Linked DNA regions of Oryzias latipes. The protein of the gene in region 2 interacts with the protein of the main gene of each other region in a pairwise test. Links are inferred from orthologs where the notes say so. Each region holds a gene or a part of one and is shown on either strand. Other genes may lie near its edges.

Region 1 (4,064 bases), on a different chromosome or scaffold from region 2:
AGTTTCAACTTGACGCTTCACAAATAGTGGAAAATTGGAGCTTTATCATTCTTCTTGAAAATTTGCTGCTGTTCATAAACACTGACAGTCCAAATAAAAAATGATCATCCAGGGTGAAATTATTCCCTGCATGGAACGATCAATAACTGAGTGTTCCTCCCTAAAGACTCACAAAAGTTTAAAGGGTTTTTATGGCTATTGTAAAATCCTAAAGTAATTGAAAATAAAAAAGAGAAAATTAAAATAAATTTACGTTTAAGTTTAATCACAATACACGGAAGGTCCATACATATGGTTTAAGATTAGGTGAAAAACTCTAAAGCTCAAGTATAATTCCAGTGTTGTGTTATTTTGATGCTTTAAAGTAAAAGTTAATAATCACTTCCAAATTAAAACAATCGATCAGCTGAAAGAGTTCAGGCTCAATGATGAACTCAGGAAAAAACTAAACAATGGTGATCATTTATTTGTTTCTGGCGCCCTCTGCTGGCGGTAGCATTATATTGTCAGATGTTCAGGTGTTTTTTACCTATAAACAACCAAAAACAACACGTCACACCGTCAACATAAATGTGTCAGATGTTTTCCAAAAAAACGAATTCTATTGTAATAGATAAATAACAGGGAGCCGGTTTAGCTCGTGCTGGTTTTGCGGCGCCTTCCGTCCGTGAAACCAGGGTTCGAATCCGGACTGCTCCCTGTTCCTTTCTCTACTTCTGTGCCGGTCCCAAGCCCGGTTGCTTTGAGAAGGTTGCGTCTGGAAGGGCATCCGGCGTAAAACATTGCCAGGTTTACCATGCGACCCTTGATGGGAAAAGCCGAAAGGGAAAGAAGAATTGTAATAGATAAATAATTAACAAATATACAGAATTTTTACGAAAAAATAACAAAAACTGAACGTGGCTTGAATTTGTAATTAAAATTTGTATATGTCCAACAATTACTACAATTTATACATGACAAACATATGAAAAGTCGTAGAATAAGTTCTGATACAATTGAGGCCTAAATCAAACCAAATTTAACTATTTTTTTAAAGGACACTTAAAACCTATATTTTTATTTTGCTCTATTCAAATTATTTATTTTGTCTTACTGTGATTTGCATCACTATAAGTTTAATTTGGCGAAAGTTTGTTGCGGTTGTCATCTGTTCTCAAGATGGTGCGTTTAGTGACCACCGTTTTTCTGCATTCTGTGGATGTGTGATAGTAAAAGCTGGTGTTCAGCGCCGTGTCAGAAAGCAGAGTGTTGATGGTAGCTCTAATTTCCTAGAGTTCCGTGAACGCAACCCCCGTCGGTCCCTGCGTCAGCAGCCTCTCCGGTGCTCCTGTTTGTTTCGACTCGTTTACCGGAAGGCTTACCGACCGGTCCGGTTGCTGTTCACGGGGAGGTTCGGTGAGTCCACATATTAAAAATTATTGACGCATATGTATTTATTCATTTATTTGTAGACGTCATAAATTCGGTTGTCGCTTACTGCTGCATGGATTTGCTTTACGCACCCATTATCTGACAACAGAGTCTCCTTTTCTGTTTCCTTTGCTATCAGGAGAACACTTGGAGTAACTTAACTGGTGTGTTTCAATATATTTGTTATCATGTTGATTATTCTAATTTATTTACCTGGCATACCTTTGCTCTTGATGAATTCGTAACGCTGTGTCTGTTGCCAGGCTACGAATAGTGACCGATAATGGAAGTAGGGCTTCCCTCATCATCGCTAATATTTTCATCGTCATAGTTAAAGGCTTTTTATTCAAATATATACATTGAATTGTTGGCGTTGTTGTGTCAAACAGCTGTTCGGGGTTCCTGTTCATGGTTTGATGTTGAAGGAACATTGAAATTTCTCTCTGAAACACTATTAAAAGGGGTTAGCTTAGGTTAGCTAGCTCGGCTAATCTGAATGCTAACGAGCCCGTTTCTTCAGTGAAACTCAAGCCGCCAGGCGCCGCTGTCATGCATGTTTCATGCGTTGGTGCTCGATGGCATCGCACGGTCGCTGTGGATAGGCGTGTGCGGTTAAATACGCGTGCACGCCGCTTTCTCACTGTCGTGATCCTTGCTAGCGGATGCTAACTCGAAGCTAACCCCGGGGGCTCCTGAACAGAGGGGTATTCCAGAAAGCAGGTTATGCTAGTTACCACGGTAAGTTTGAGGCTAAGGAAGCGGATAACCTCAGCTTTAGGTTCCAGAAATCGAGGTATGTTTTAGGGTAGGTCAAGTTGCCATAGCAACTCATGCACTGAACATAACCTGGTCTAGAGCAGGTTTAGTTGAAGGTTAGTTTGTTTTCAGAGAGGTGAAGCAGCATGGCGTGTCCATTTGAAGATGATTTAGTGGATGAAGAAGCTTGATAAGACTGATTGGTGATAAGACCACGTATGGATGTTGGAAAGATAAACTTTTTTACATTAATCTAACTTAACTATTTGCTTCAGTTAAGATAAATCATTTTTGTTGTTAATTCAGCTTAAATATAACACGCAGTTATCAGACAGTTCTTTTACTTCAAATTAATTCAATTTAGTATGTGTAACTACTTCCGCAAGGAATTGTGGGATACCATTCCCTTTGCCTGTCTGGACGGATTTGGGTACAAGTGTAGGTTTTTGTCTAAATATGTTTAGTTGTAGCTGTTTTACTGTGTTTTGCCGAGTTATTTATACTGTTATGTTAAATTCTTTCAGCACCATGAGTGAGAAGGAGGGAGAGGATGATGAATTTATTTAGCACCTCTATTAGTTAACGAACACATTAAACACAGTTTCTGATTTGTGAAAATGTGAAATTGTATTATTTTTGTCGCATTTTTCGCACTGAGTCCACCTGTTCAAAAACCACACAACCTGTACTGATCAAACCTGGATTAAAACATTATTTAGATACTAAAGAACACATTAAACACAGTTTCTGATTCGTGAAACTTTCCCAGCAGGAAGTTGAACCCTTTATTTGATTTCTCAAAATGAGGACGGGAGCGATACGATCGAGGGAGGAGAGAAGACATATGAAAAGCAGAGTAAGAGAGATGGGTGAACCTGAAATGGGAAGAGACAACATTAAAATATCAGGGTCCAAAAAGAGAGAAGTTATCTTACAAGTTAGTTTGGTCACGTTTACTTTATGAGGAGATAAGGTGGACTCAGTGCGTAAAATGCGATAAAATAATCCAATTTTACATTTTCACAAATCAGAAACTGTGTTTAATGTGTTCTTTAGTATCTAAATCATAATTTTATCCAGATTTTATCGGTTCTAGGTGATCTTGGTGTGAAAAATGCAGTGGAATGTTCCTTTAGTGCCCCTCGTGAAACGGAAGCCAACCTCAGCTTCGTATGATGGAGGAAATGTTGAGAAAATTAAGCTTAATATTGTTTTTTGATTTATGGCGGTTCTTATTATTTGGGCAAAAACGGCATAATCATAATGAAAAGATCACTGGGAATGATTTAAAAATAGTTTAAAAGACTTTTTAGAGTTTAAACTTGGAAAACAGGTTTTTTTTTTTACCCTCAAAGGTCATGTGACTGAAAAACTGTGCTGCATTTGTAATCTATTTTCTTTTAGTAGTAAGAAAAAATGAGATTCCTCCAGAATTTGGTTAGTGTTCTCATCATTTGTCTTCACTTTGATTTGATAGTGCTGCCCAGAAATGTGCCCGACTGTAAATCCATCATCAGCGGCTGAGCTGCAGATTGGATTTTTTCAGTCTTAATTGGGTTAAATCCTTCAGAGCTTTAATTCCAAAAAAACTGAGGATGTGAAGCATTTTAGGACGAGTTTTCCCTTTGGATTTCATCGATGGGTGGAGGATTTATTCTTGTGGCGCTCCAGCTGTGCGGTTGCGTGGATGTCCCGGATCCTGCGCTTGTTTCCATTGTTGTGGTTTGGTTCTTCCACCGCTGCGTTTTAATCCTGTAAACGCTGGCAGCGCGCCTCGGCCAGCCTGGAGGAACTGGATCTGTAATCAGCATCCTTCAGTGTCGGGTTACCACGGCTCACCAGGGCATGTCTCCATGGAGACGTGTGTGTGGGTGTGGGGGGCAGCTGGAGTTTCA
Region 2 (6,305 bases):
TGCTGTACCAGATGTTGGGAGTTTACATTGCAAAAATAGAAGTTGTTCCAATGCGTCAATATAAAAAAATAGCAATGGACAAATACATAAATACCTGGGTACTGAAAAGTGCAAGCGACGTTTTACAGATTCCTTTTATTTTTTGCACAATAATCAAATGTAAATTAAATATGTTTACAAACAAACAGGAATTGATAGGAAATCCATTCACATTTTAATTTCCTAAAGTTTTTCACATACAAATAACACAAACATAACATTATTAGACAGAGAAGTTTAAGGTGGAGATCACATCACGGCTCAGCACTCAGCCCCTTCATGTTTGCAATGGTGATGGACAGGCTGACAGATGATGTTAGACAGGAATCACCATGGACAGTGGTGTTTGCAGACGATATTGTGATTTTTAGCGAGAGCAGCAAAGAGGCGGAGGAGAAGCTAGATAGATGGAGGTTTGCCCTGGAAAGGAGAGGATGGAAGGTTAGCCACAGAAAGACGGAGTACCTGTGCATAAATGAGAGGGACCCAAGAGAAAGAGTGAGGTTATAGGAAGAAGAGATAAAGAAGGAGATGGAGCATTTTAAGCATCCAGAGTCAACAGTACAGAGTAATGGACAGTGTGGAAAAGAAGTGAAGAAGCGAGTGCAGCCAGGTTGGAATGGGTGGGAAAAAGTACCAGGTGTAATGTGTGATAGTATGAGGTTCAATTGGACCAAAGACATAGACAGTGGGCACAAAAACATGTTTTTGGCACAAATGGAACCTCATATTTTTCTGGCAACGTGCGTTTGCAGGAATATCAATAAAATGTATTTAAAGAAAACGTGTTTGTCATGGTTAACGCTAGCGCCGGCTTTAATAAACCTTTTTTTTGTTTCGTTCCGTGGTAGTACAGGAAACAATTAACCGACCGTACAAAGGACTTTTCTGACGACGAAAGACAAATGCAAAGTTTTAAACATAACGCATGAACCAAAGGTCAATGAACTCGTTCAGTAGACATAGACAAGGGACCAAAGACATAGACAGTGGACACAAAAACATATTTTTGGCACAAATGGAACCTCATATGATAGAAGAGTTTCAGCTCAAATCAAAGGAAAGTGGCACTGAGGAAAAGACAGGAAAAGGGCTGGAGGTTGCAGAAATGAAGATGCTGAGGTTTTTCTTGGGAGTGAACAGGATGGATTAGATAAGGAATGAGTACATCTGAGGGACAGCACATGTTAAAGGTTTTAGAGATCAAGTCGAGAGACCTAACTGAGATGGTTTGGACCATAGTGTCCAGAAGAGAGGCAGTGAGTAAGTATATTGATGGAAGGATGATGAGTCTAGAGCTGCCAGGCAAGAGGTGGATGCAGTGAACGAAAACGTGACAGTTTTTGGTGTTAGAGTAGAGGATGCAGAAGACAGGGTTAGAGGGAGGAAGGTGATTTGCTGTGGCGACCCCTGAAGGGAAAAGTCCAAAAGGAAAGAAAATGATTAGAACATTATGCCATATGATCACGTGTCTTTGCAAAATTCAAAGGGGGGTTTCAATACATTGAAGTGAAGAAGCAATAGCTTGATGTCTTGATCCTGTTTTGGTGCCTTCCCGTGTGTTGCCTGCTGTGATGGCATTTGGTCGTTTTTATGTTATAGTAAAATAAACCTTCTGTGCCTCAATCCAAATGGTATTTCCCAATATCAATATAATCAATTTATTTCATTTTGAAAAAAGTTTATGATGGTATATTGATTCAGTTACCAAATTGCCTCAGACAGATTGATCTGGTTGGATTGTAGAAAAATAAATGGATTCATCAATTCAACTATTTACAAATACGGCCTCCTTCACTTGATTACAATTTGGCTAATGCAGGACTGAAGGGCTTCATACAACACCTAAATAAATTAATAAATAAAATACATAAACAAAACATGGATAAAGAACAAACGTGTATTAACACACGTTGAATCACAAACATGGCAACAAGAGTGTCTCTCTAACAATTAAATTAAAAAAATGTTTTTAAATGACTGGTTTTGCAGATCTTTAATATATAAAGATCTGCATATATATATATATAATATTTGTATAATTTCTTTTTAAATAATTTGTGTGTTGTCTTAAATGTTGATGGTGTGTCATTTTCTCTATTTTCCCTCACTGTTCAAATCAGAACACAGAGTATCTGAAACTATCTCGAAATTGTTCAGCTGATAACAGTTTTATACTTTGTTCTTTAAATAGTTTCCCCCTGCAGTTGTTACACGAGATATTGCTGGTAGCGTTGATTTTTCTGCTCAAATCGTTGGCTTAAAAAATAACGAAAGACATCCATGTGCAGGATCCTTTGTTTATTTTTTAGTTTGTGAGGAAGTAATCCTAAAAACAAACTTAAATTTGATAGTTCAGTAAACATCCGCTCATATAAAGGAGCATTTCTTTAATCATAAGATTTTAAGGCGGTCGGTAGTTTTGAGCAAAGTGTCAAAGTGTTTTTCTAAAAGAAAACTTTACACCCTGACGCTGATCTCATATCTAATGAAGAGTCGGCACGTTCCCCCTACAGGCTGTCTCGGCGGTCGCAGCCAGTCGGCGGAGGAGCACAGGAAGGCACGAGCTCATCTCTCGCGAGGAACGACGCCGTTATCGGAATCTCTAGAAACAACACGAGAATTCGTCATTCACACGGTAATATAAGCCCACTCTTACACCGTGCAATTGACGTGTGTGAGCAATGGTCTACGAATCCAAGTCAAAATCATCTTTCATTTTATTTTAATTTTTTACGTTTTAGCAAATACTTCGTTGCGTTTCAGCGGCCTGTAGGCCTAACTAGCATGCTAACGACTAAGCTAGCTGAAATAGCGCTCTGTTTGCGTTGCTTAGCTCTCAAATCGGATTGTGCTAACTTTAGCCATTGCCAGTACATCACTGCTCTGTGCTAATCGAAACTTGTTATAATGCACAGCTGTGATCTCATGCAGTTGTAATAAACTGTACTTTTCCTGAAAAACAATAATCAACATCTATCAGGACCTATGTTCCTTCAATTGTTTAGTTCATTAATTTAAATCTCCTCCCATTTACTGATACTGATAGCATACAGTTAAATAACTGCATCGTTACTAGCAAGGCAAAGATGAAATATATTTAGTGGAATGAAAGGTAGAAGGCTTGAACAAAGTCTGGCTTTATCATTATTAAGATAAACCACCAGTTTACAAATAGTAAGGCATTTCTGGTCGTTTTTTTTAAACTATCACATCTTAATTGCTTTGAAACAAATTCATACATTGACATGTGTATGAATGTGAAAGTATTTCTCAAAGTGCATCAACTAATGTCATAAAATTGCCAGTCTGATCTACTTTTGCCCCAATCCATATACAAAAAAAGTACATTTGATTAAATTATACATCCAAATTAGTATTTGCTAAAAGTGACGTAAACAAATCTATTTGTATTTTGATTTAATTAAAAAATTAAATGGGGAGACTTGAGTTTAACTGTTATGCCATTTAGCCACAGCTTGTAAAGAAAAATACAGCAATGCCAAGCACACATGCTTTGTTTAGAAGGTGGTCATTAGCCTTAGTGATAATTGTTTTACATAAACATAAAATTGTGTTTTAATTAAATTTTTACTTTAAAATAACCATTTATTGGAAAAACAAACAATCTTCCAATACTGTCATTTACATTGGACTTTAATTCATATACACTGTTTTAAAATTAGTTGAATCAGGAAAATAAAATACTTTTAACTACTCTCGCCTTTGCAGGCTTTTAATTATGACACAGATTTATGGTATTGGGGAAACATTTTAGATATAAAGGACTTGGGAAAACAAAACAAAACAAGAATTATAAGTATTTTGACCATAAATAATGCGTAAATAGGTTAAAAGAAACGAGTACCACAATAAAAATGTTCCTAAACGTGAAAACACTTCAGCAAATATTAACTATTGTATTTATTTATGAAATTTGGGGAAGTTTAAATGTCCACTCATTTTTTGGACTTATCATTTAAAAACAGTAATTTTTATCAAGAACCGTTTCCAAAACTATGTTTCATGACTATATGACACATGAAAAGCAGATTTTGAATTTTAGCTGCAGTTTAGTCACATGAAGCAGAAAGTGTGCCATTCTATGTTTAACTTGCTAGTGATGAACATGTAATAAATCCTCAAACTTAAATGCTTTAAAAATGTCATAGAACTCATTATAATTGCATACTCAACACATGCATTGACTTCAAAGCATTTATGTACAACTGTTGTCAAACACAATTTCATAACTGGTATTAAGCTAATAGGATTTGCTTGAAAACCAGTTAAATTTGATTTGTTTCCTCAATTATGGAGTTTGCAATATGTGTGGAAAAAGGCCCAATATTAAATGCATTGGCAATAATCTCTGCAAGTATTTGATTTGGCCCAATAAGGTAATCAAGCTTTTTTCAGGCTGTGTAGTTATTAGTCAAAAGCGCTAAGGCTCAAAATCATACAATAAAGACCTTGTCCAGTTTGGTGTGGATGCACAAAGCCACTCTTGATGCTCTGGAATGTACAGGTTTCAATCGGTGATACTTTTTCTTAAAGTTCAGTCCTACAGGAAACAAAAACAGTGGCTTACAAGGGTCGCTTCCTGTTATCCTTTCCAACAAGCCTGTTTGAAATGGTATGGTTGCCAGGAGCACACATTCCCTCTATGAAAGGAATTTTTGCAAGTTACAATTGTGGAAAGCTCTGAAGATTTCTTTAACAAAAGACAAATAATGCCCCACTTTTTGAAAAATTAAACACAAGAATTTATCGTTGTGTAAATGAGACCAGAGTCCACTTCAATGAATGTAGTCTTAAAGTTCTGTTTATTTTTTAAAGTCAAATGCAAAGATCTGTTTGTTAACTGCATTTTGTTTTAAACAGCAAAAACGGAGTCTTAAGGAAGTGAAAAAGACCCTTCTTTCCTGAAAAATGTGTCTTATTTTCTGTCTTTCCATCCATTTTCTTAACCTACTCTATCTTTTTTGGGGTCTCGGGGCTCCCGGAGCCTAAACTGGGTCATTTTGGGCAAGGGTAGGGTACACCCTGCAGGGCCACACAATTACACACACACCGAGTCGCACCTTGGGATGTGACCGATGAAGCGCGTCTATGGATGAAGGTCGATTGCCTGGAGAAAATCCACACATGCACAGGGAAAACATGCAAACTCTTCACAGAAAGGACCCAGTTTGGATTTGAACCAGAGCCTTCTCATTGAGAGGTGAAGGCAGCAACCTATTCTTTCTTGTCTTGCAAGAAAAAGTTTTTCTAGTAGCAAATGAAACTTTGTTTAAGAAAGCATGCCCAAGTGACATCTAAAGAACATTTTTGAAATTTTAAGTAGTTTTGATGAACTTTATAGTGGACTGTGGTCTGAGGCACAGCAGCGCATTTAGAATAGATTAAAGAAAAAAAGAAGTTGTTCAAGTCAGTCAATGAACGGCAGTCAATGAACTGCAGTTAAATTGCCAAACCCCGCCCCCTAATAAAAAGCAAAACTAAAAAACAAGTGGAAGTTTCTCTAAAATGACAGGGGAGGTAATGTTCATGCACACAAGTCATAAAAACATTTTCTTCTGAATGTACATTTATAACTTCTTAATAATCATTTTGGTTTTTATAAAAAAATTACCATTTTCTTCTTCATGTGTTTCTTGGTTTTAACATATATAAACATCTTGAGGTAAAAGATGACTGTTATTTTATGTCGCGTAAAGGCGCGTGGCAGCTCATTTTTCCTCCCCATGTCTCTTTTCAGTTATGAATGATGTCTGAACAAGAGTTAGATGACATCGTGCAAATAACAGTGGAGGACTTTACACACCAAGACCGCACTGGTGAGTTTTGCCAAAGGAGTTTAAAAAAATTAACCATAAGAAACATATTTTTTCTCTATCTTTTATAGACCTTTTATTTGTTGGATATCCGCACTAATAATTAATGGACATTTTCATTTAAGACTTTAAGTCCAGCTATTTTAACTACTCTTTACCTAAGGCAAGAAAATATATTCTATGTTGAGTGTGTCTTTTTTTTTTAAGTATAATTTTATATTTCAATGTGTCAGAAATGCTTGACAATCATGAGGACGACGAAGAAAGGCCACAGAAGAAAAAGAGAAAATTGAGCCAGAGCCAGGACAACAACAACAACAACAATCAAGATTTATCTTTTATTAAGGTACCAGCTGTTCACAAAATGCTTTCCAAAATCTTCCACATCTCTTTCAAAGTTGGGTGCTATTTTTGAGTGAACTATTATGT
Region 3 (4,253 bases), on a different chromosome or scaffold from region 2:
ACCTCAGCCTTCTTTTTCCTGGTGGTACTGCTCTTAGGCTGGATGCTGGCCTCAGTTGTCATGATTTACAGCATTGCTGTGTGAGTGTGGATGTTTCTTGGTAACATAAATAATACAATTATTTTTCCTACTGGTCAGAAAGTCAAAATTTGGCCAATTTGTCGCAATACAAAAAAGGCGATGGCTTTGTAGAGATTTATGAAATTATGTCTGAGTGACGTTCCGTGTCTGTCCATACAGGATCCATCCTTCTCGGGGATGTGGGCCTTTCCGGTTCTCTGACAACATGTGGTTGATTATACCGACATCTTTCTACAACCTCTCTGCAGCCACACAAGAGTTTCTTTTCTTCATTGGCTCACAGGCGTTTACAATCCCCCTGTTTTCATTATCGGGGTAAATCCATTTTCATTTTACATGAAAATCATTGAACTGTCTTGCACTGTGCAGATATAGATGATATTTTTCTTTGAATGCCAGTTGATTCTTTACCAGCTGACTTGTTTCTCCGTCATAGTTTGGTGATGTGCTACGTCATAGCTTTGTTCTCCATCTATGGGAAAAGTGTTGGACTGCTAAGACTGCAGCTCAAACGGGTAAGTTGATGGTATCTAAAGCAGTATACTAAGAATTGGCCATGAGTTAACAAAGATTTTTTTCAATATTTCCTTTTTTACTTTAACTAATACAGGGTCTGGTCTTTTTTGTTTTTACAGGAGAGCCGGGATAAGCAGTTCTTAGTCAAGCAGATTGAGGAACTAAGTCGGTAGATGACCAAGATACCATTTGATAGATACATATATATACTGTATCTACCACTACAAGACTAAACAGCCTCTGGACAATGTTTAGTCTCTGCAGTACAGTAACATGAGACGATGTCATAAAGAAAGGATGTTTATTAAAAAGAAAAAAAAAGCTTCATATTATATATACATAGTGAAATTACACCAGATTCTTTCAAAATAAAATGTTAAAAATGTTGCACATTAAACATCACTGTTCTTTAAGCACTTTAAAAGTGATCATTTAAACAGGTGTTTTGATCATTTTTGGATATAGACTTTGCAAAGAAATGCATGTAAAAAAATTGAACCTCTAATACTGTTTTAAAAAAACAAGACAGTTGGACAGTGTTTTTGTTAAGACGAGAGCAACCAAAAATAATTGTTTATTTTTGACCCTTTTGAGACTACGGTATGTATTCAAACTTTTTATATTCTTTTCTTTAAATGTTGTGATTTATTTGTATTTTTTTAATGAGAAGTCCTTCGTTTGCTGTTGTTTTTTTTTTTTTTTATTGCTTTTTAAAGTTTAGTCTTGCTCGCTTATGACCATTACATTTATTTCTTTTGAATAAACCAGTTGGCGCTCGCTCCAGCTCCATCTAACGATTCTTCTTTGTAATTGCTTCAAGAGTTGTAACTTTTTTTGTTTACTTCCTGTTTGGGTCTACTACTTCCGGTGGACCACAGCAAACCTGGAATAGATGAACTCTCCAAAAAGTCGGACAGATTTGTTTGTTGTTAGACCTTAGGATATTAAAAAAAATAATACTGTGCTTTTAACGAGCCAGGTTTGCCGTCATGAATGCTAACTTAATGTAGAAAAAATGTAAGCTAATGTTTTAAAATCTAGACAATTGCGCAGATTTTTTGCTAATTTCTGCTTTACTAATCATATCAGACTCAGTCACCTGGCTGATTCGCGTTCCATATTGTTGTAGATCAAAGGCTCGGGTCTGTTCTTCCTCTAAATTTTGAGTTAGCTAACTGCTAACAGTAACACCATCATGAATATCCTTCCGAAGAAAAGCTGGCATGTCCGCAATAAAGACAATGTAGCGCGCGTGCGAAGGGACGAAGCCCAGGCTGCAGAAGAGGAGCGCGAGGCTAAACGCCGCGTGGAGCGCGCGGAGCAAGAAGTATGTTCAGTTTTACCGTTCGTTTTTTGTGTTTACATCTGTCTGTGTTTCGTGCTGGCAGAGTATACGTTAACAGATCACGTGACAGTTTAGCTGGTTCTGAGCTGAAAATGAGTTGGAAACCTCTGCAACTGAGTAGATTATATGTATTTTTTTCCTTTCCTTTTGGGGGGTTGTTATTCACAAATCATATACAAAATTGAGGTTTGAACACTATCATTAAGAAAGTGTGTTGTTCCATCGCTAATATGGAGCTGATGTTTATTTTTTATTGTGTTGATAATCTGAAATAGATTCAAACTTCATAACATGCAAAAATTGTCATGGTTTGTTTCCACAGGCGCGAACAGAATATCTGAGAAGAAAGGCCCGAGCTGGTCTCCAATCAGTGGAAAGCACAGGAGATGATGGGAGTCAAAGCGGAGGACATGTGGAGCATCTCAATCTTTTTCCTTTGGAGGAGTCTTCAGATAAGAAGGGGAATGAAGAGTATCTCAAAGAGAAGAAGGAGGAAACGGTGATTGTGCTGCTACTTCTGTTTATATTCTGAAAATTACAGGTTTATCTGAGTAAACACTCACTAAAAATAATTTAGGAAGTCCATTTTATGGATTTTTTCTTTTCATTTGTTGTAGGAGAGGAATGGTGTACAAATCCCAGGAAATTGATTGTCTGATCCAGCACAGATTAACATCTATTTTTGTTTGTGTGCATAAAATACTATAACTATTGTGTTTTTCATGTTTGAAACTCTCATTCTAATTCTGCATTCAAAGAATGAACACTTTTAACAACCAGACTGCATTTGCTTGACAGTTAGTTTTCCCTTGTTTATCACGGGAGTTATCTTCTAAAAATAACCCACATCAGGTGAAATCCACAAAGTAGAATTCGAGATGTTTTAAGGCTGTAAAACGGAACTTTGTTTCATGTTTAAACTCTTAAAGTTCAAACATTTGTAGTAAAATAAGTCATGTATTATAGAATAAAACAAAAAAATCTGTTTGTGGTTGAAGATTTAGATATTTGGCAAGCTAAACGCATTCTGTACAGGAGACACCGCTTGGAGGAAAGTACTTGACAAAGTCTACTACCAATCAGGATGCAGAACAAATTGAGCTGTTAAAAGAAATCAATGAAAAGAAATATGAAAAAAATCAGCGAGAGCGTGAAAGATATAGCGAGGGACCACTGTACTCAAAAGAAAAAAAACAGGTTGCTCATCTACAAGTTGCAAATGAGTAGCACTCTGCAGCTTTTTGTTGATTTTTAAATCAGTAATGCTAATTTAAAAAGGTAAACATCCACTTTTCCCCACCTAATACACTTGGTTTGCTGTGGTTTCTTATTCTACAGTGGCAAAAACGTGCAGCTGGATCTCATCAGACTCTGTCAGGATTTTTATTTTACCAGGAAGTTCTGATTCTACTTTTATGCAACAATGTTCAGTCATCTATTAGAGAAGGAAAAATGACACAAAGAACAATTTGCATGAAAAGGCAATGGAGTTTATTACAGTTTTTTTTATTCTCCAATACAATTATTTGAAATGGAATATTTTAAATATTGATCATAGCTACTCTGGTTTGTCCAGGAGAAGCAAGAGCGAGCCATCGGCCTGCTTGTTTCTTTAGGCCCCCAACCAGGCACTGAGGTGACTCCATGGTACATGCAAAGCAGCGCAGAAAAAGAAGAAGAAGAATCGGAAAAGAGGAAGGGCATAATTGAAGAGGAAAAGGCGAAGAAAGACCGCAGGCTGAAGGAAAGTTTGGATCCTTTGAAAGATATGAAGAAAGCATTGGGGGAAAGTGAAAGGAGGCACCACAAGAGCAAGAAAAAGGAAAGAGGAGACAAGGGAGAAAAGAGGAGCAGTGGGGAAAGGTAAGAAAGACTTTGGTTGCTTGAATGTCCTTCTAATGATGTTGATTACATAATAACACTGTTTTTTTATGGTGTTTTCTGTTTTTTTTTTGCCTTTTCAGCTCCATGGAAAGATTGCGTGCTGAACGCTTACAAAGGGAAGCTGAAGAAAGGAGAAGAGCCCAGGCTTTGCTTGAGCAGAGGAGTGGGAAAAGGAAGGATGCAACGCGAGAAATGGACGACAGGGACCGGCCTTACAACAACGCTTACTTCCCAGAAATTGCCCGAAAACGACAGAGGCGAGACAGAGAGAGCTGGAGAGATGAGATTCTCAAATCTTGAGTTTCATTATTCTGAACATTTTACAATCAGATGGTTAGGATTCCCTATGACTTTTTTTTTTTCATTTGTCCTGTTCTGTCCATAAAAGGAAAGTCTTGCAGGAACTAGAGGTCATGTCCAACAGCAG
Region 4 (4,079 bases), about 5.5 Mb from region 2:
CCACCTTTGCATAACAGTAGCTGGGTTAGGCTCTGCCAGCCCCTGACCCCAACAGGGATTCAATGGAATCAAAAAAATGGATGGATGGATTTTCACTAACATTTCTGTTATTTCCTCTGGCAGCTGTACCTTAAAGAAGGCATCTACAAGAGCAAAGGTTTGTTCTCTCTTGAAAATGACTTGCAGGTGTTTTATTTAGAGTAGAGTCCAACTGCTTGCCAGGATTTATCTAACGGATATTTAAAAAATGTGCAGGAAGTTGAAACTCCAAATCCTTACCTTGAGTGAATCATCAGTCGAATAACTTTTTCAATGGTCCACTTCTAGACAGCATCACGAATCCAAATGTTTTGATAAAAGAATAATAACTGAAAAACATTAAAATATTAAAGAAATGTGTTTTACATACATTTTTTTTAAAAACAACAACACTGAATTTATTGAATGAGCTACGTTGTTACCCACTTACTTTCAAGAAGGAACAAATGAGGGTCTTATAATTGTTTTTTTAATTAGCTGACAAAAGATGGCAAAAGACACAAAAATCCTGGAGTGATGGCACAAAACAACTCCCTGCCTACAGAGTGGTGTCAATGAAAAAAATGACAAAGAAATACTATTTTATTCTGTTGTACTTGTATTGTCGTTCTTCTTGCAAAAGTTTTGTTGTTGTTTAACTTAAATTGTTAACATTTTGTGTGAGGTGTGTTTTTTTACTTGCATTAACAGTAAAATGATAATGATCATTTTAACAATCGCTTCATCTTGCCTCTTAAAAAAAAGCTGTTCAGTCTTTCTCTGCTATCTAACTTGATGTTGACGGAATGGTCCATTGCCACACAGGGACAGGGGAGGACAAAACACTTTCACACGAGCAGTCTTATGCCATTTCAGTAATTTGGGCTTTTTATGACAGATTTAAACTATTGAGGAAATTATTTTAGACCATGTTTGTAAATGCCCCCCACACACACATGTGCAACAAGTCCGCCCCTGTACAATACACGAACTTCCCTCTGCTGCACAGGACTGCGATGCCAGCAGTCACCGGCAGAGGGCGCACTGCAATCAGGGCCTGACATGGTGCCCGGAAGACCAAGGTGTAAACATTTTTGTGACGTTCAGCTCACGTCCACCCGTTAAGCGAAGCATCAGCTGCGCTGGGTCTGCAGGTCGTGACAGCACTGCTCCGTTTTCGTTCCACTGGTTCGTCTGGCCGCCTTGTCCCTCCGTCCTCACGGCTTTCATTCCACAAAAAGGCCGATTCCTGAGAAAAAACATGCAGAAGAGAAGGAAGCCAGAACCGATCCAGCTGAACCCGATTCCCGACGGAAACACACTGAACGGAACCGGAGCCTCCGAGTGAGTGTTGGCGATCAGCTGTTTGTCACATACGAAATGTTACATAATTATGTTTACCACAGGAATTTAGAGCTTTTGGTGTGACAATAATCTGAGACACTGTCTGCACCGACTGTGGGATTATTTATTTATTTCACAGTTAAAACTGATTAGAAAGATAGGTTCAAAAAGTACTACTAACACAAGAACCTCTATTAGAACAGTACTAAGAAGACGAGCAGTGAATCCAAAGATACAATAGCGTCAAATATTTGTAAAAATGTTTCAAATAAACAAAAATTGCAGTGTTTTTTTTTTAAATTTAGGGGATCTGCTTAGAGAATCAGAGAAATCAAATCTCTGTCACAGATTAGTGTTAATACAGCTCTCCTCACTGTGACTGATCTAATCATCACTGTGAAATAAAGTGGCTCTCCAGCTCTCTTCAGCTGATTTCTGAGGGGAGGCACTGTTTAGTGATATGCTTGTGTGGGTTGGAGGTAAAGAGAAAAAAACCAACATGATAATGGAGAAATAAACCTGTTGTGACACCTTGTTTAGTGTAAATCTGTGGAAACAATTCTTTGTCATTCCACCAATAAGCTGGATCCCATTACATAACATGGTCTTCACTATGAAGCCTGTTTGTGCAGGCAGGATGCTTTCTGGTTTCTTTATTAGATGCAGCCTCTGAAAGTGATCTGTAGCCTTTGCAAATGAGCACATGAAGGAAATCTAAATCAAGGATTGGGGATATTTTTTTTTAAACTGCTGAGAGTATGTGGTAATACTGCTGTTTAATGTAATGTGAGGATGCTAACCTGCAAACAGGTGTTGCTTTGTTCTTGTTGTTTTTTAAGCAGGTTTTTTGGGGTACATTCTGACAGTTATCTGAAACAGTCTAAAAAGCACTTTCTATATTCATATAGAAAAAAAAAGGTCCATTAAATTACACAGATTTTACTTTCCTAGCTCCATGTGAAACTCAACACTGTATGGCTCCATAACAGACTATAATGTGAGTGCTTGATGGCAGTCATCTAGTTTGGTATGTATTCTCCAGATCAATATTAACTGTAGAAAGCTCTTCTTCACATTAGCTCCTCCAATCCTGGCCCTTAGTAACATGTGATCCAAAATGTTGTTGTTCACCTTTCGGCATATCCCTTCAGAGGTCGCCTCAGTGAATCAGCTTTTACCGATTTACTGAAGGGACATGTGTTTTTGGCAGTGATTTTTACGTCGGATGTCCTGTATTTTTGCTGACTGGGGACCGGCACAGGGAAGACCCAGACTTGGGGGGGGCCCCCCTTGGGTCTTGCTCAAGGACCAACACTGGATGAAGCCTGGTTTCCCATGCGCCAGTCCTACACTCAGCTAACTGAGCCATCCAGCTGCTTGACATGTGATCCAAAATGTATTTTTTAGGTTCCGACATGAACTTTTAACAACATTGACTGACGTATGTCAAAACAGGAAATCCACTATTTTGCAAAAAAACATTTTGTGTGATGAAAAGAATGAGTCAAGTAACCATAAAGGTTAGTTATATGTATATGTCTAGCATTTCTAAGCATTGGGTAGTTTTCTATTGTCAGCATAATTTGACAAAAGTACGTTTTACTGTGTAAGCCTCATTCTCCTGCCTCCCTATGTTGTTTTGAACACACCTGTGCGTACAAATGTATCTCCTTAACCCTGTGGGTAGAAAGGGAATCAAAGATATAACAAGACAAAACAATATTTCATTAACTAATCTGAAACTCTCCTCTTGCTGCATAGAAGCCTACTCTTTTTTTTTTTAACAGATCTGAGTTCCTTCATTTAAGTTTCTTAATATTCATCATTTTTGTCATAAACTGTTTTCAAATCCACTGTTTTTGCTGACATTTGTCTGCAAGGCTCGGTGCAGAGCTGCAGAACGGGTTTCTTTCGTACCTTTATCTCCCATTAGATGTCCTTGAATATGACGCGAATGGATACAAGAAAGGCCGGCTACGTGCGCACACCCCCTGCACCTCAAGTGGTGCTGCCCCTGTGGTTGTTGCACCCACATATATTGTGTTGAGTGTGTTTCATGCTAGTTCTTTTCTCATCTCCTCCACCTCCAGCTCTTGTTGACAAAACACCCACGCCGCCCACATCTACATGTAGCTCGTTTCCATGGATATGCAGCCCTACTGACAAAAATAAAAGCACTTAAACCCTGTCTTTGCTGCATGACGGAGCATTAGAGGAGAGCTCAATGCCCAGCTTTGAGTAGTTATCAGTGAGTTGTGGTTCGACATGGACGTAAAATTCATAGCTGTGATGAAGCTGAAGGAGACCTCTACAGCAGGAGATCAGTCAATGCTCCTATGATATGTAGAAATCATACTTCAGGGCTGCGCAAAACTGCTATAGTACCGAAATGATCGGAATTCGTTTTTAATACAATGTAATTTGATTTATTTCAATTATTTTAATTCCAATTCCCATTTCAAACCCAGCTGTGTTTGGTTATGAAAAACTATTTCCACAAAACATTTCATTTAAAGTAGGTGAATATTAAAATGTCATTAATCAAACTAGACATTCTTATGGTAAAAAGTAACAGAAAAGGTTTGAAGACTGAAGGGAAAAAAAAGAAATAAGCAAAAGGGGATGAATGGATTTTGCTCTGTTAAAGGAAAGCTCTATTAATTTAATAGATTTTTTGAAACCCAAGAACATGTTACATTGCAAAACCTCTTCTCAAG
Region 5 (4,080 bases), on a different chromosome or scaffold from region 2:
TGAAGTCTGGCGCCACTCACAGGTCGCTCCAGGAATTGCAGTGCAGGCTTGTCTGTCTTTGCCGCTTTCCGGGGCATCAATTTAAATCAATCTTAAGCATCTGTTCAAAACAAACAAGAGACAAATCCGATCGAGTAATCTTGTTAACAATACACATAGCTTTAGTCGTAGATCGAGGCTGTTTACATATTCGCATTCAAGTGTTTACTTTTGAAACGCGTTCTTTACTTACCATATTGTGCTTTTTCCGTGATTATGTGTCCATGTACGGAATACGGAATAAAAACGTTCCCTTATTTTTCGGTTCATTCAGACCTTTTTATCTTAGCTTGTCCGTGTTGTTGTTACTTTTAATTTCCCGGATTTTTTCTTTGTCTTCTTCGGGTTAGCGGCTGGCCATCTCGAGCTGCGGCCCACAGCGCCACCTATTGAGCCGCCCAGTGTTTTTTTCTGCGTTTACTATTGGTCCATTGTTACCATGTGATCAAAGTGACAGTCGGGGCAGCGCCCACAGCGCCAAAATTCAAAACTGTTTATGGATTGACTTTTTGTATCTAATTACTACTAAATACGTCGGTTTTGTGAATATTTTAAATGTTTTCTTTGATCCGACAAGTGGAATTGAAAGCCGAACCAAGCCTGGAATTGAATGAAACGCTGCAGTAATTCAGTAATGTGAAGGTCTGGCTTCATTTTTCCACTTGTTTCCTCCATCGTCAAACAGCTTTAGCATAGCTAGCTTAGCCTAGCTGTAAATAAAGGAAACTATACGCTAATCGGGACATTGGCTAGGCGCATGTTATTTTTTGAATTTATTTTTTGTTTTATTGATTGCATTGTGTTAACATGTAAATATATGTTGCACTGAATATCCACTAGATAGACGTTATTGAAATTAAACCTATCATCAACTGAAAATTATAACGACTGGCATGTCGCCAAGGGAACCGAATAAAATCTTCACTTTCGAGCGAGGGACTGTTGGGACTTTTGCAGCAAACAGACAGCAATAATCGGGTTTCTTTAAGTTTGAAGACGATATCATAGGATTGAAACATCATTTTTGACCGATTACTTCGTATTCTATTAGCAGGTATGTTGTTTTCAGGCTCACTAGTTCGGGGTTATCGTTAAAGTCAGTATTTAAACGTTGTAACGTAATGTATTGATAAGGTGTTTAACTTCTGAGTACTTTTTGAGCCATAACTGTAGCTCAAGACCTTTTCCCCCTCCCCACAGATTTCCATTGAACACCTAAGGCCCTTTGGATGATTTGAACCATGAGACGGAGCCCAAGGAGACCCCTGATCCTCAAAAGGCGCAAGTTACCTTTTCAACAAAAGGAACCCACCCCAGCAGACCCATCCAGGCAGTCCGGTGGCTCCAAAGAGCCGTCAAATTCCAGCGACAGTTCGTGCTTCCCAGACGGGGTCCGCTTTATAGGCCACCCATCCCTGTCAGACACTCAGGTTGTGGTCATTCCCAAAGCTACAGACGTTCAGAGTGTAATTAGTGTCCTCGCCGCTAAAGGCAAAGACAGCGGAGTTCAGGGTCCGAGCAAGTTTATTCTCCTGAGTGACAATGGCAATCAGGATCAAGCCGGATCTTTCTGTGAGACTGCTACTTCTGGAGGAGATGCTGTTTCCACACAAATCCCATCTCAAGAACCAGCAACAAAAGAAAGCACTCACACATCCCTTGATGTGACTGGCATTAAACCCTGTAAGGAATTTGCACAGAGTTTAAAATTTTATGTCAGAAATGCTACATTTAACTGAAATACCTGCTTCAATATATATATATAATTTTTTTTCAGTGAGTAAAGATGGGAATAGCGGCCCTTTGGATGACAGCCTCACCAACATCCAGTGGCTGGGCAAAATGAACACATGTGCTCTAGAGTCAGAGCCTGCAAAGCAAATACAAGGCAAGGAGAACCAGGCTCCCGTGTCTCAGACTGCTCAGGTCAGCTGTTTGTCTTTTTTTTTCCTTCCACACGGTTGTGACTTTTGCTGCCAGTGTGCAAACAGATTCTTGTGTGACAGGAACACAAGTCTGAGGCAATGTTGTGGCACGTTTCCTAAAATTGAACAGTAACCCGTCTGCCTGAGGAAAATGTCACCATGCTGTGATTTTTCACCATTTGTGAGGTTTAGTCACACGTTTTCATTTTATTCTAAAGCTGCTCTTTGCTGAAGATTTTGACAAAACGTAAGTTTTTTGTGAGAGAAAAATAGATACTATTACCCACCATCTGAACTGAAACTTTGATGAATTATATATGCTTGAATGGTGATTTAAATAGTGTTGCATGACATAATTTACAAGAACATTTATTGCAATGCTCCATAAATAGATGCTAACTTTGTATATTTGTGACTTAAGTAGCTCAATTATGATGTTTATTACTATGTATAGATTACAAAGGCTTTGATTTTACCCATATATTTGTATGTATGTATTAATGATATAGATGCATATCAACAGGATTTGCTTTATTCACTGTAGATATTGCTATATATTCTCTGATGGCTGATCTTTTTTGAATGTGTTTACATTCAAAATCTGATGGAAATTCATGCACATATTTTAACCCTGACACTCTAATTTCATGCAAATAGTCACTTCCTTTTGTGATTTGTCCTTTTCCATCTTAGGGGAAATTCTATAGTTGTGTTTTTTTTTGTTAATGCTAAATTAACCGTCAATTTTTGCATCTTTAGATCAGTAAATGGTGAGGTGTAATAATTTCCTTTTTAATATTTTTGACCGTTTTGAAGCTGCTGTTCAGCTCCGCAGTACCCGAACAGAAAGAAACCCGAAGACTGCTTAAAGACCCACTCCGATAAAAAAAATAGTTTTTACCATGTTATTGTCTCAATTTTCTGAAGCTAGAGGACATATATAGGGAAAATTAAGCTTACAATTGCATTTCTGAGTATATCCTCATTCAAATTGTTGTGAATCAGGAGCAGACTGAAAAAAGAGCTCATTTGTGACGTAGAAAATATTCTAAGCTGGCCACAAGTTCTCTCGTCTGAGGGAGGGGACAGCGTTCCCGTTACATACTGTCTGTATGTGTTTCAACCTGAAGCCACATCTTCCAGAAAAGAATTTCTCGAGTTTGTCTTCCGTGTTCTTGCAGTCATTTTCACGGCTGAAATTCACCCTCATTCGCGTTTTTTCTTTTGATCATAGGCAGCCAGCGTACCTCCAGAAACGAAACCTTGCCAGCAGCCCCTGTCAGGGAGGCCGCCGTATTCCTACATGGCCATGATCCAGTTCGCCATCAACAGCAGGAAAAACCGGAGGATGACCCTGAAAGAGATCTACACTTGGATCGAGGACCATTTTCCGTATTACAGACAGGTGGCCAAACCCGGATGGAAGGTAAAAAAAAATCCAGACTTTTGTTTATTCAAGGCTCCCATTTTTTTGATCCAAGCGTTTATATCTGTTCTGAAATTCCCATTTGCAGAATTCAATCCGCCACAACCTTTCTCTGCACGACATGTTTGTTCGCGAGACGGCGCCCGATGGGAAAGTTTCCTTCTGGACCATCCGGCCTGAGGCCAACCGATGCCTCACTCTAGATCAGGTATACAAGGTGAGCACGGCGGCGTTTTTCAGTGGTTTGCAGACACGTCTAACAGTTTCCTTTAATGTTTTGCTGTGTTTTTCACCTTTTAAAGCCTGGATGTGATCCAGTGACTGCTCCAGTTCCTGTTCCAATGCTTTTATTTCCCAACCAAGTAAGACGGCATCTTCAGTCTAACAGAACTTTGCAAGCAGGAAGCTGAAAGGGACAGAAGCTTAAGTGTTTCTTCAACCTGTTTACCTTTAATAACCTTTAATGTCTTTGAAGTTAGCTTTATGTGGACATTTGAGCATCGTAAGTTTATTTATTCTTGCAGGTTTGCTTTGAAAGCTGTGTTGTTTCTTTGCCATTGTCCACTCAGTACAGCAGGGGCAGAAAATGAAAAGGAAGCAGTGGATTCTCTTCATCCAGAATGTGTCGTCTGAAAGTTAAACTTTATGAATCAATTCGAATCTACATTTTTTTTTGTTTCTCTCCAGTCT

What was found. The genes of interacting proteins can lie anywhere in the genome.
Region 1: the proteins of banp (region 2) and rab3ip interact in binary tests that used the Homo sapiens proteins (3 or more experiments, as listed by UniProt). The two-hybrid records come from large-scale screens. The link is inferred for Oryzias latipes from reciprocal best matches to the Homo sapiens genes BANP and RAB3IP.
Region 3: the proteins of banp (region 2) and leng1 interact in binary tests that used the Homo sapiens proteins (3 or more experiments, as listed by UniProt). The two-hybrid records come from large-scale screens. The link is inferred for Oryzias latipes from reciprocal best matches to the Homo sapiens genes BANP and LENG1.
Region 4: the proteins of banp (region 2) and map2k1 interact in binary tests that used the Homo sapiens proteins (3 or more experiments, as listed by UniProt). The two-hybrid records come from large-scale screens. The link is inferred for Oryzias latipes from reciprocal best matches to the Homo sapiens genes BANP and MAP2K1.
Region 5: the proteins of banp (region 2) and foxm1 interact in binary tests that used the Homo sapiens proteins (3 or more experiments, as listed by UniProt). The link is inferred for Oryzias latipes from reciprocal best matches to the Homo sapiens genes BANP and FOXM1.

What each region holds. Positions count from the first base shown.
Region 1 is NC_019881.2:22,273,283-22,277,346, forward strand, and holds the start of rab3ip (rab-3A-interacting protein), read left to right. Parts: upstream 1-1,264; 5' UTR 1,265-1,398; intron 1,399-1,552; exon of another isoform or gene 1,553-1,577; intron 1,578-2,130; exon of another isoform or gene 2,131-2,151; intron 2,152-4,064. UniProt on the Homo sapiens protein: Guanine nucleotide exchange factor (GEF) which may activate RAB8A and RAB8B. Promotes the exchange of GDP to GTP, converting inactive GDP-bound Rab proteins into their active GTP-bound form.
Region 2 is NC_019864.2:22,009,268-22,015,572, reverse strand, and holds the start of banp (protein BANP), read left to right. Parts: upstream 1-2,196; 5' UTR 2,197-2,677; intron 2,678-5,800; 5' UTR 5,801-5,806; coding exon 5,807-5,879; intron 5,880-6,109; coding exon 6,110-6,222; intron 6,223-6,305. UniProt on the Homo sapiens protein: Controls V(D)J recombination during T-cell development by repressing T-cell receptor (TCR) beta enhancer function. Binds to scaffold/matrix attachment region beta (S/MARbeta), an ATC-rich DNA sequence located upstream of the TCR beta enhancer.
Region 3 is NC_019874.2:19,390,365-19,394,617, reverse strand, and holds the start of leng1 (leukocyte receptor cluster member 1), read left to right. Parts: upstream 1-1,453; 5' UTR 1,454-1,792; coding exon 1,793-1,924; intron 1,925-2,264; coding exon 2,265-2,441; intron 2,442-3,518; coding exon 3,519-3,805; intron 3,806-3,906; coding exon 3,907-4,126; 3' UTR 4,127-4,253. Other genes in the region: tmc4 (transmembrane channel-like protein 4), read left to right, coding at 1-80, 241-396, 518-596, 717-770.
Region 4 is NC_019864.2:16,494,862-16,498,940, reverse strand, and holds the start of map2k1 (dual specificity mitogen-activated protein kinase kinase 1), read left to right. Parts: upstream 1-1,279; coding exon 1,280-1,362; intron 1,363-4,079. UniProt on the Homo sapiens protein: Dual specificity protein kinase which acts as an essential component of the MAP kinase signal transduction pathway.
Region 5 is NC_019881.2:18,848,296-18,852,375, forward strand, and holds the start of foxm1 (forkhead box protein M1), read left to right. Parts: upstream 1-1,280; coding exon 1,281-1,722; intron 1,723-1,816; coding exon 1,817-1,965; intron 1,966-3,198; coding exon 3,199-3,390; intron 3,391-3,478; coding exon 3,479-3,607; intron 3,608-3,692; coding exon of another isoform or gene 3,693-3,752; intron 3,753-4,077; coding exon 4,078-4,080. Other genes in the region: rhno1 (RAD9, HUS1, RAD1-interacting nuclear orphan protein 1), read right to left, coding at 1-77. UniProt on the Homo sapiens protein: Transcription factor regulating the expression of cell cycle genes essential for DNA replication and mitosis. Plays a role in the control of cell proliferation. Also plays a role in DNA break repair, participating in the DNA damage checkpoint response.